Rattus norvegicus: one gene and its partner. The protein of the gene in region 1 interacts with the protein of each later gene in a pairwise test. Links are inferred from orthologs where the notes say so. Each region holds a gene or a part of one and is shown on either strand. Other genes may lie near its edges. The genes, in order: Tsks and Tssk2.

Evidence for each region.
Region 2: the proteins of Tsks (region 1) and Tssk2 interact in binary tests that used the Homo sapiens proteins (3 or more experiments, as listed by UniProt). The link is inferred for Rattus norvegicus from reciprocal best matches to the Homo sapiens genes TSKS and TSSK2.

Annotation. Positions count from the first base shown.
Region 1 is NC_086019.1:104,570,402-104,574,216, forward strand, and holds part of Tsks (testis-specific serine kinase substrate), read left to right. Parts: intron 1-546; coding exon 547-642; intron 643-805; coding exon 806-889; intron 890-1,820; coding exon 1,821-1,931; intron 1,932-2,529; coding exon 2,530-2,816; intron 2,817-3,815. UniProt on the Homo sapiens protein: May play a role in testicular physiology, most probably in the process of spermatogenesis or spermatid development.
Region 2 is NC_086029.1:96,590,271-96,593,941, forward strand, and holds Tssk2 (testis-specific serine/threonine-protein kinase 2), read right to left. Parts: upstream 1,950-3,671; 5' UTR 1,882-1,949; coding exon 805-1,881; 3' UTR 594-804; downstream 1-593.

The DNA of each region.
Region 1 (3,815 bases):
AAGGGCTCTGCTGCTGCTCTTAACTTTTGAGCCATCTCTCCAGCCCTTGTTTTTGTTTTTAAAGAGAGGGTAGAGTCTCTATGCCACAGCTACTTAGACAGATCTCATGGTCTCTATCTGATGATCCAAGATGATTGTCACTTTATACTTCAGAGAGTGGGAGGACAGGAAAGGAGGAGGGATTTTGTGGGTACACATTTGCATCTGGAACCCACGGTCTTGTGCATGCAGGCAAGTACTCTGTCGTTGAGTCACACCCCAGCCCCTCACTGGGGGATTCCAAGGAGTGGCTTTACCATTGAGCCATACCCTCACCTCCAACGGGGAAAATCTAGGCATTTTCTTGAAACTGTCTTCCCCTCTTACTTGTCCCAGCGCACTGTGAGGAATATTAGTCTACTTCTGGCTTTACAAAACAAGGGACTAAATTCGAGGATGCCACCTTTTGCCCAAAGCCACAAACCCATCTAGAACAAAACCAAACTGAAAACACAGCCTGCTACCTCTAGAATTTTCTTGGTGTTGAACTCTCCCGTTTTTCACCAGAGTGGGGTCAACAGTGGATTGGTACGTGCCAAAGACTCCATCACCAGCTTGAAGGAAAAGACCACGCGGGTTAATCAGCATGTTCAGACACTGCAGGTAGGCTACTGGAGGATCCCTATACCCTTGCCTGTGGCCTCTTCCTCCAGAACTAAGTTCCTGGCTTGTAGCCACCTTTCTCCATTGCGCATGCTCAACCCTCAGGAGGCTAAGACGCTGCTCCCCGTATAAACTTTAACCCTGCCTCCCTTCCATGGTCAAGAGCGAGTGCTCTGTGCTGAGTGAGAATCTGGAAAGAAGGCGGCAGGAGGCAGAAGAGTTGGAGGGGTACTGCAGTCAATTGAAGGTGAGCCGCTGTGGAAGGAACCGGTTGGGGAGAAAGGGATGAGAGAAGCAGAGACCACAGAGGGCTTGGGATGTGGCTCAGTTGGTAGAATGCTTGCCTAGCATGCAAAAAACCTCGGGTTCAGTCGTAGTGTGGCATTAAGCCTGAGTTGGGTAGAATACACGTCTGATTTCAGAACTTGAAAGTTCAAGATTCTTTTCAGATATATAACGAGTTGGAAGCGGGGTACATGAGACCCTCTCATGGCTACCAAAAAAAGTCACTCTCTTCTGGCTTTCATGGCCACTGCACGCATTATTGCACATACACTTAAATACATATACACAGGCAAAACACCATACATATACGAATTTTTTTTCAAGACAGGGTTTCTCTGTGTAACCCTGGCTGTCCTGAAACTAACTCTCTAGACCAGGCTGGTCTCAAACTCAGAGATCCACCTGAGTCTGCCTCCCGAGTGCTGGGATTAAAGGCATCCGCTGCCATGGCTGCCGCTGCCACCGCCACCATCATAAGACATTTTCTTTTCTTTTTTTTTTTTTTAAGATTTTATTTATTTCATGTATGTGAGCACACTGTAGCTGTCTTCAGACACACCAGGAGAGGGCATCAGATCCCACTGGATCCCAGATGGTTGTAAGCCACCATCTGGTTGCTGGGAATTGAACTCAGGACCTCTGGAAGAGCAGTCAGTGCTCTTAACCACTGAGCCATCTCTCCAGCCCATAAGACATTTTCAAAAAAATTTTTTTTTAATTTTAAAATTTAAAACAAAAGGAGCACAGGAGAAGGGGGATGATCAACGGGGTAGTGCAGTACAGGCTTGGCTAGGAAGGAAGCTTGGTTGGGAAGTGGATGAGTCCTACATAGGGCAGATGCTATGCAAAAAACGAGGCTGAAGGTGGGGGGCAGAACCGGAATGGGAAGGTAGGGCCCCCGCCCTGATGTTCTGACCCAGGAGAACTGCCGCAAGGTGACCCGTTCAGTGGAAGACGCTGAAATCAAAACCAATGTCCTGAAGCAGAACTCTGCCTTGTTGGAGGTACGAGGGTATGGAGGGGGGTCCCAAGCTAGTGAGAAATTTGGGTGGAGTCTCGGGCTGGGGGTTGGAGGAGCTATGGTGGACAAGGACAGGGGTGTAAAGGCTGCAGATGTTCCAGTGAACTGAGCTGGGTTTGGGACCTGGCTGTAGGGGTTGGATATCAAAAGGGGGAGGGCCCAGGGGAGGAGCCAAATAGGGCTTGCTGGGTGTGACCAGGGTGTGAGCCTGGGGAAGCTTAGTTTGTCAAGGGTGTAGCCTGAAACGACTGGGTAGGCCGGGTCTAGAATGAAGACTTGTTAGCTCACTTTCCAACAAAACTTGGAGAAAACTTGTTGCGATCCCTAAGAGGCAGGGACTGAGGCAGACAGGACAGGAGACGAGAGTGGTAGGTTGCCTGCAGCAGTAGAAACAGCTAGCAGAGTTTAGAGTAAATGTTATCTCCCCTCCTAAAGACAAGCAGGAGTTCAGTTAGACTTCAAGTGTACTTCCCAACTATCCTCTCTCTACACTACTTTGCAGTCTCGGGGATCCCTGGAGTGCAGTTAGCTGCGGGTGGTAAGTTGCCGATCACCTTGACTCATTGTCCTCCCTTGCCCAGGAGAAGCTAAGATACCTCCAGCAGCAACTGCAGGATGAGACGCCCCGGAGACAGGAGGCCGAGTTGCAGGAGCTGGAGCAAAAACTAGAGGCTGGCCTCTCCCGGCATGGCCTAGGCCCTACTACTCCCATTCAGGGCTGCTCCGGTCCTCCTGGTAGCCCGGAGGAACCCCCGCGGCCGCGAGGCCTGCCCTCCAATGGCTGGGGCATGGCAATCCGCGCAGGGGAGGGACCCTCGCTGAGCGAGCAGGAGTTGCAGAAGGTCTCCAGCGGCCTAGAGGAGCTGAGGTGGGCGGGGACTGGAGGAGGTGGGTGGATCAGGACCCAGGTGGAGCAAAGGGCGGGAGTTGGGAGGAGCTTCGAGGCTGGGTGGGCGGGACAGAGTGTATCCTAGTCGGGTTGTAGTGGGTGAGAATTGGAAAAGCTTGATGTGGGAGGGGTTTAAGGGGGCTAAGCGATTGGGCACAGAAGCCCACTAGATGAGGATTGTGTGATAGCATAGGTGGTACCGGGCTAATCCAATACACCAAGAAAAGGAAAATGAAAAACAAAAACAAACAAACAAAAAAAAGGGGGGGGTTGGGGATTTAGCTCAGTGTAGAGCGCTTGCCTAGCAAGCGGAAGGCCCTGGGTTCGGTCCCCAGCTCCTCCGGAAAAAAAAAAAAGGAAAATGGTGGGAGGCGGGGGAGTGGTGCTTGCCTTTAATCCCTTAATCGCAGCACTGAGAGACAGAGTTCAATGCCAGCCTGGTCTACATAGAGAGTATCAGCACATCCTGGACTACAATAGACAAGACTGTGTTTTTTGTTTTTTGGGTTTTTTTTGTTTTTTGTTTTTGAGACAGGGTTTCTCTGTGCAGCCCTGGATGTCCTGGAACTCACTCTGTAGATCAAGCTAGCCCTCAAACTCACAGAGCTCTGCCTGCCTCTGCCCCCCAAGTTCTAGGATCAAAGGTGTGCACCACCACCACCCGGCAACAGACCTTGTCTTTAAAACAAAACAAAAAGGAAAGAAAAGGGGTGCTGGAGAGATGGCTCAGCGGTTAAGAGCACTGACTGTTCTTCCAGAGGTCCTGAGTTCAAATCCCAGCAACCACATGGTGGCTTACAACCATTTGTAATGAGATCCGATACCCTCATCTGCTGTGTCTGAAGGCAGCGACTGTGTACTCATATAATAAATAAATCTTTAAAAAAAAGAAAAAGAAAGAAAAGAAAAATAATTCGGTGATCTATTTGGGGCTAGGTCAACAGGGGCGTAGTCAAATCTATACCCAACCCTTTCTTC
Region 2 (3,671 bases), on another chromosome or scaffold:
CAGGAAGCTTGAGATTTAAACCAAGGATTCCTCCAGTAAGAGAAAGCAGATACTGGAGACAGGGAGAATGGGTGTGATCTGGGTGCTGGCCACCTCCAGCATTTGGCCAGTATGAGGGAGTCTTTAAGGAGAGGTGGAACCAGGAAATGGTGCCTAAGGAACTTTGATTGAGGGCTGCTAAGGGTCTACATTGCAGGTCTACAGAATGGGTAAAATAGCAACAAGTTTCCAGGCGGGCTGCCCCATTCCTGGGGATGGTGAGGGTGAGACTTGCACAGGAAAGGTCTGAATTTGATTGCCCCTGAAGTGAATGGACAATGAGCACTGTGTAAGAACAAAACAGGGGCGGGGTGGCTTGTATTGCTTAAGATAAGAGAGAGGCATGGAGCTGTCCAGTGCTAGAGGCCTTGGGGATGGAGGAAAGTCAGAAGCCAACATGTGTGAGCCTAGCAAAAGGACCTTGATAGAGGTCCCCCTGCCACAGGCCTCACTGAGTCTGCCTGTGCCTGTGTACAGGTTCCTAAACCCCTGTGCTGGAGATCCCCGCGCTGGATGAGTCCTAGAGAAAAAGACTCCCCACTGGGCACTCTCAATGCTTGTATACACTTTGTGGTTTATTTGGTGGTCAGTAATTAATGGCTTTGCTACGAAGTGGAAGAAAGCTAATAGAACGTAATCAAAATAGTGGTTTAATTGACGGATTTTACTTGTTCCTTGCACCTGTGCCTTCTTCAGCTCCTACCTCCTACTTAGCTTATGTGGGTGCAGACTGCACACCATGATCCCCCAGGGCCCTCTCCGCCACTAGGTACTTGCTTTCCCCACCTCAGCTCCAGAGATGTGATGGTCTTTAGCTCTGGAAGTCTCCGCCAGCCTCTCCTCCATCCTGTCTTCATTCTCAGGTGCTACCAGCAGCCGGTGCTGGGGTTTGCTCCCCAGTTTGTGGTCAGGCCGGTGTTCGGGTCTTGAGCCTGGTCGAGTATCCAACTTGCAATCAGCTCGATACTTGCCTTCCCCCTCCCTCTTGAAGGAGGCAGAAGACATGGCTTTGGGCTTGGGGGGCTGAAGCCACGAGTGGCTGAGGATCTCATCAATGTGCAGCCTCCGGTTGACATCTGGCTGTAGGATGCGGTAGATGAGGTCCTTGCACTCACCAGTTAGATTCTTGGAGCGTGGGAAGTCCACTCGGTGCTCCTTCTGGATGCGCAGCATCTTTTTGATGTCAGAGTCATCGTAGGGCATGGAGCCACAGACCATGATGTAGAGGATCACACCCAGGCTCCAGATGTCATACACCTTGGGCTGGTAGGGGATGCCCTGCAGCACCTCGGGGGCCGCATAAGCTGCTGACCCACAGAAGGTTTTGCTGAGGACGATGCGCCCGCTCCCGTCCCGCAGGCAGCGCTTGGAGAAGCCGAAGTCAGACAGCTTGATGTTGAAGTCCTTGTCAAGCAGAAGGTTCTCACACTTGAGGTCTCGGTGGACGACATCCAGATCATGGCAGTACTTGACGGCTGAGGAGAGCTGGCGGAACATCTTGCGTGCCACATCCTCGTGCAGGGCTCCTCGGCACTTGATGAACTCGAGGAGGTCGCCCTGGACGCCCAGCTCCATGACAATGTAGATGCGTCCATCAGAGGTCTCAAAGATCTCATAGGTCTTAATGATGGAACGGTGGTTGACAGTCGCCAGGATGTCCATCTCCCTAGGAAGGAATCTCTCCACAAAGTCAGTGGGTGTTTTCTTGCGGTCTATGATCTTGACTGCCACATTGAACTTGAGGCGCTCTGAGTAGGCAGATTTGACTTTTGCATAGGAGCCCTTGCCCAGATTGATTCCCACGATGTAACCCTTCTTCCTTAGGACCGCGGCATCGTCCATGGTGCCAGGAGCGGCCGGTGCCGCCGCCCTCTACATCCCCTCCCCACACGGGCCAGCAGGCATTGTCCTCATTCCCACTGTGGGGAGGCGTCTGGCTGGGCTGGGCCTGGAGTGGAACGCTCAGCATTGTCACCAAGTGACCAGCGAATGAAGTCATAAAGCTGGGCTGCTGGGAGTGGGGACTAGGCTTGGGGGAATGGGGCCCCTGGACGGAAGCCAGGAAGGCCTAGAAGGAGCACCCCCTCCCCACCCACTGGAATGAAGCTGGCATTCAGGCCTGTGGTAACCCTCCCTGGCCCTTTTTCTTGCTGTGACTTCGTTGTCACCAGTGAGGCCCAAAGAGAAGCCATACAGGTTCAGTCTCTGTTTCACTGTGGGGCCATGGGAGTCGGGCCTGTGTCGGTCCTCACTTGACTGGACCCAGTTGGTTGGGGTTTGAAGAAAACTTCCTATGAGTTTGTGTCAGTCAGTGGAAGCTGCCCAGGTCCAGTCAGTCCAGTGGTGGTTCCAGTCTACTGGATGAAAGCAGCCCCGTGTCTGGGGCCTGGAGTTGGCAAGGGTCTTTGGGCTACAGAGTGGGCAGATGACCCACATCCCTGGTGAACAGGTGTGTGGGGGTGGGAGGGTAGGTTGTACAAGAGGATGGACTGAGGGTCCAGGTAGGCAGGTGCATGCTTGGGAGAGTGCGGTGTGGAAGATAGGGAGGCTTCAACCAGATGTACAAGGTGGCGAGGTACCCAAGCAGACAAGCGCTGAGAATGGTTCAAGTGTAAGTCAGGGAAGAAAAAGGTCATGGAGCTTTTGTCTGCAAATGATCGGCAGCCCCTATAGAGCCTAACACCCTTTTAAGATGGTTGCTGTTAGGAAGAGAAGCCAGGTGACTTTGGGATGCATGTGGAGCCCCAGGGCCTCGGGCCAGAGCAGGCATCTGAGGGTCGAGGGGAGGGGAGAGGGTTACGAAAAGCCAATGGGCCTGGTAGTGAGGAGGGGACTGTGTTAGGCTTGGTGCTGGACAGCCCAGGGATTGATAGCCCTTAGCGTTGCCCATGAAGAGCAAGCTTGGAGTTTTGTGAGCAGGTGAGCCAGGCCACATGAAGGGCTGTGGCAATGCTCATTATTCGCAGTTGGAGTGTCTTGTGTTTTGTGCATGGATGTTTGTTTTGCAAGGTGGCATCATCTGTCCATCTTCCTGGCTCCTTTAGAAGTCCCATGCTCATTTTCACATCCCACAGATGAAAGTCAAACACTTTCAGTGAGTTGCCAGAATGTGTAAGTGCTGTGCTCAGAGGGCAAGCAAGAAGGCCCATTTCTAGATGGGAGGTGGGACAGACAGCATCAAACAGGAAGTGACATAGGCGCAGAGGGGAACAAGAATACACCATAGAGGCCACCTTGAAGTTCTGGTTCTAATGCCCATGAGTGACACACACAGCAGGAGCCCTTGTGTCACTTCTATCTCAACTGTCTCCTCATTGAATTTTAAGCAGCCTCAGGCCACCTTGGTGTCTTCTGTCCCCAAAACCTTGGCAAAAACCACAGAGGTGAAAAGCCAGGTGCCTACACACTTCTCAGAACACCCCACCACTAGCCCCATGTCTTGGAGCCTTCTGCCCCATGCAGGTTTCTTCATGGCAGTGCTGCTCAGAGTCTGTACTATGCCTGAACCCTAGATACTTGGTTCTCACAGCAAAGTTCACAGAAGCAGGCTGTAAAGTGTTGTTTGGTCCCAGAAGGCTTTGAGGACAAACCCCCTTGCTGAGCCTGGGGAGATGGGCAGTCTTCAAAGGTGA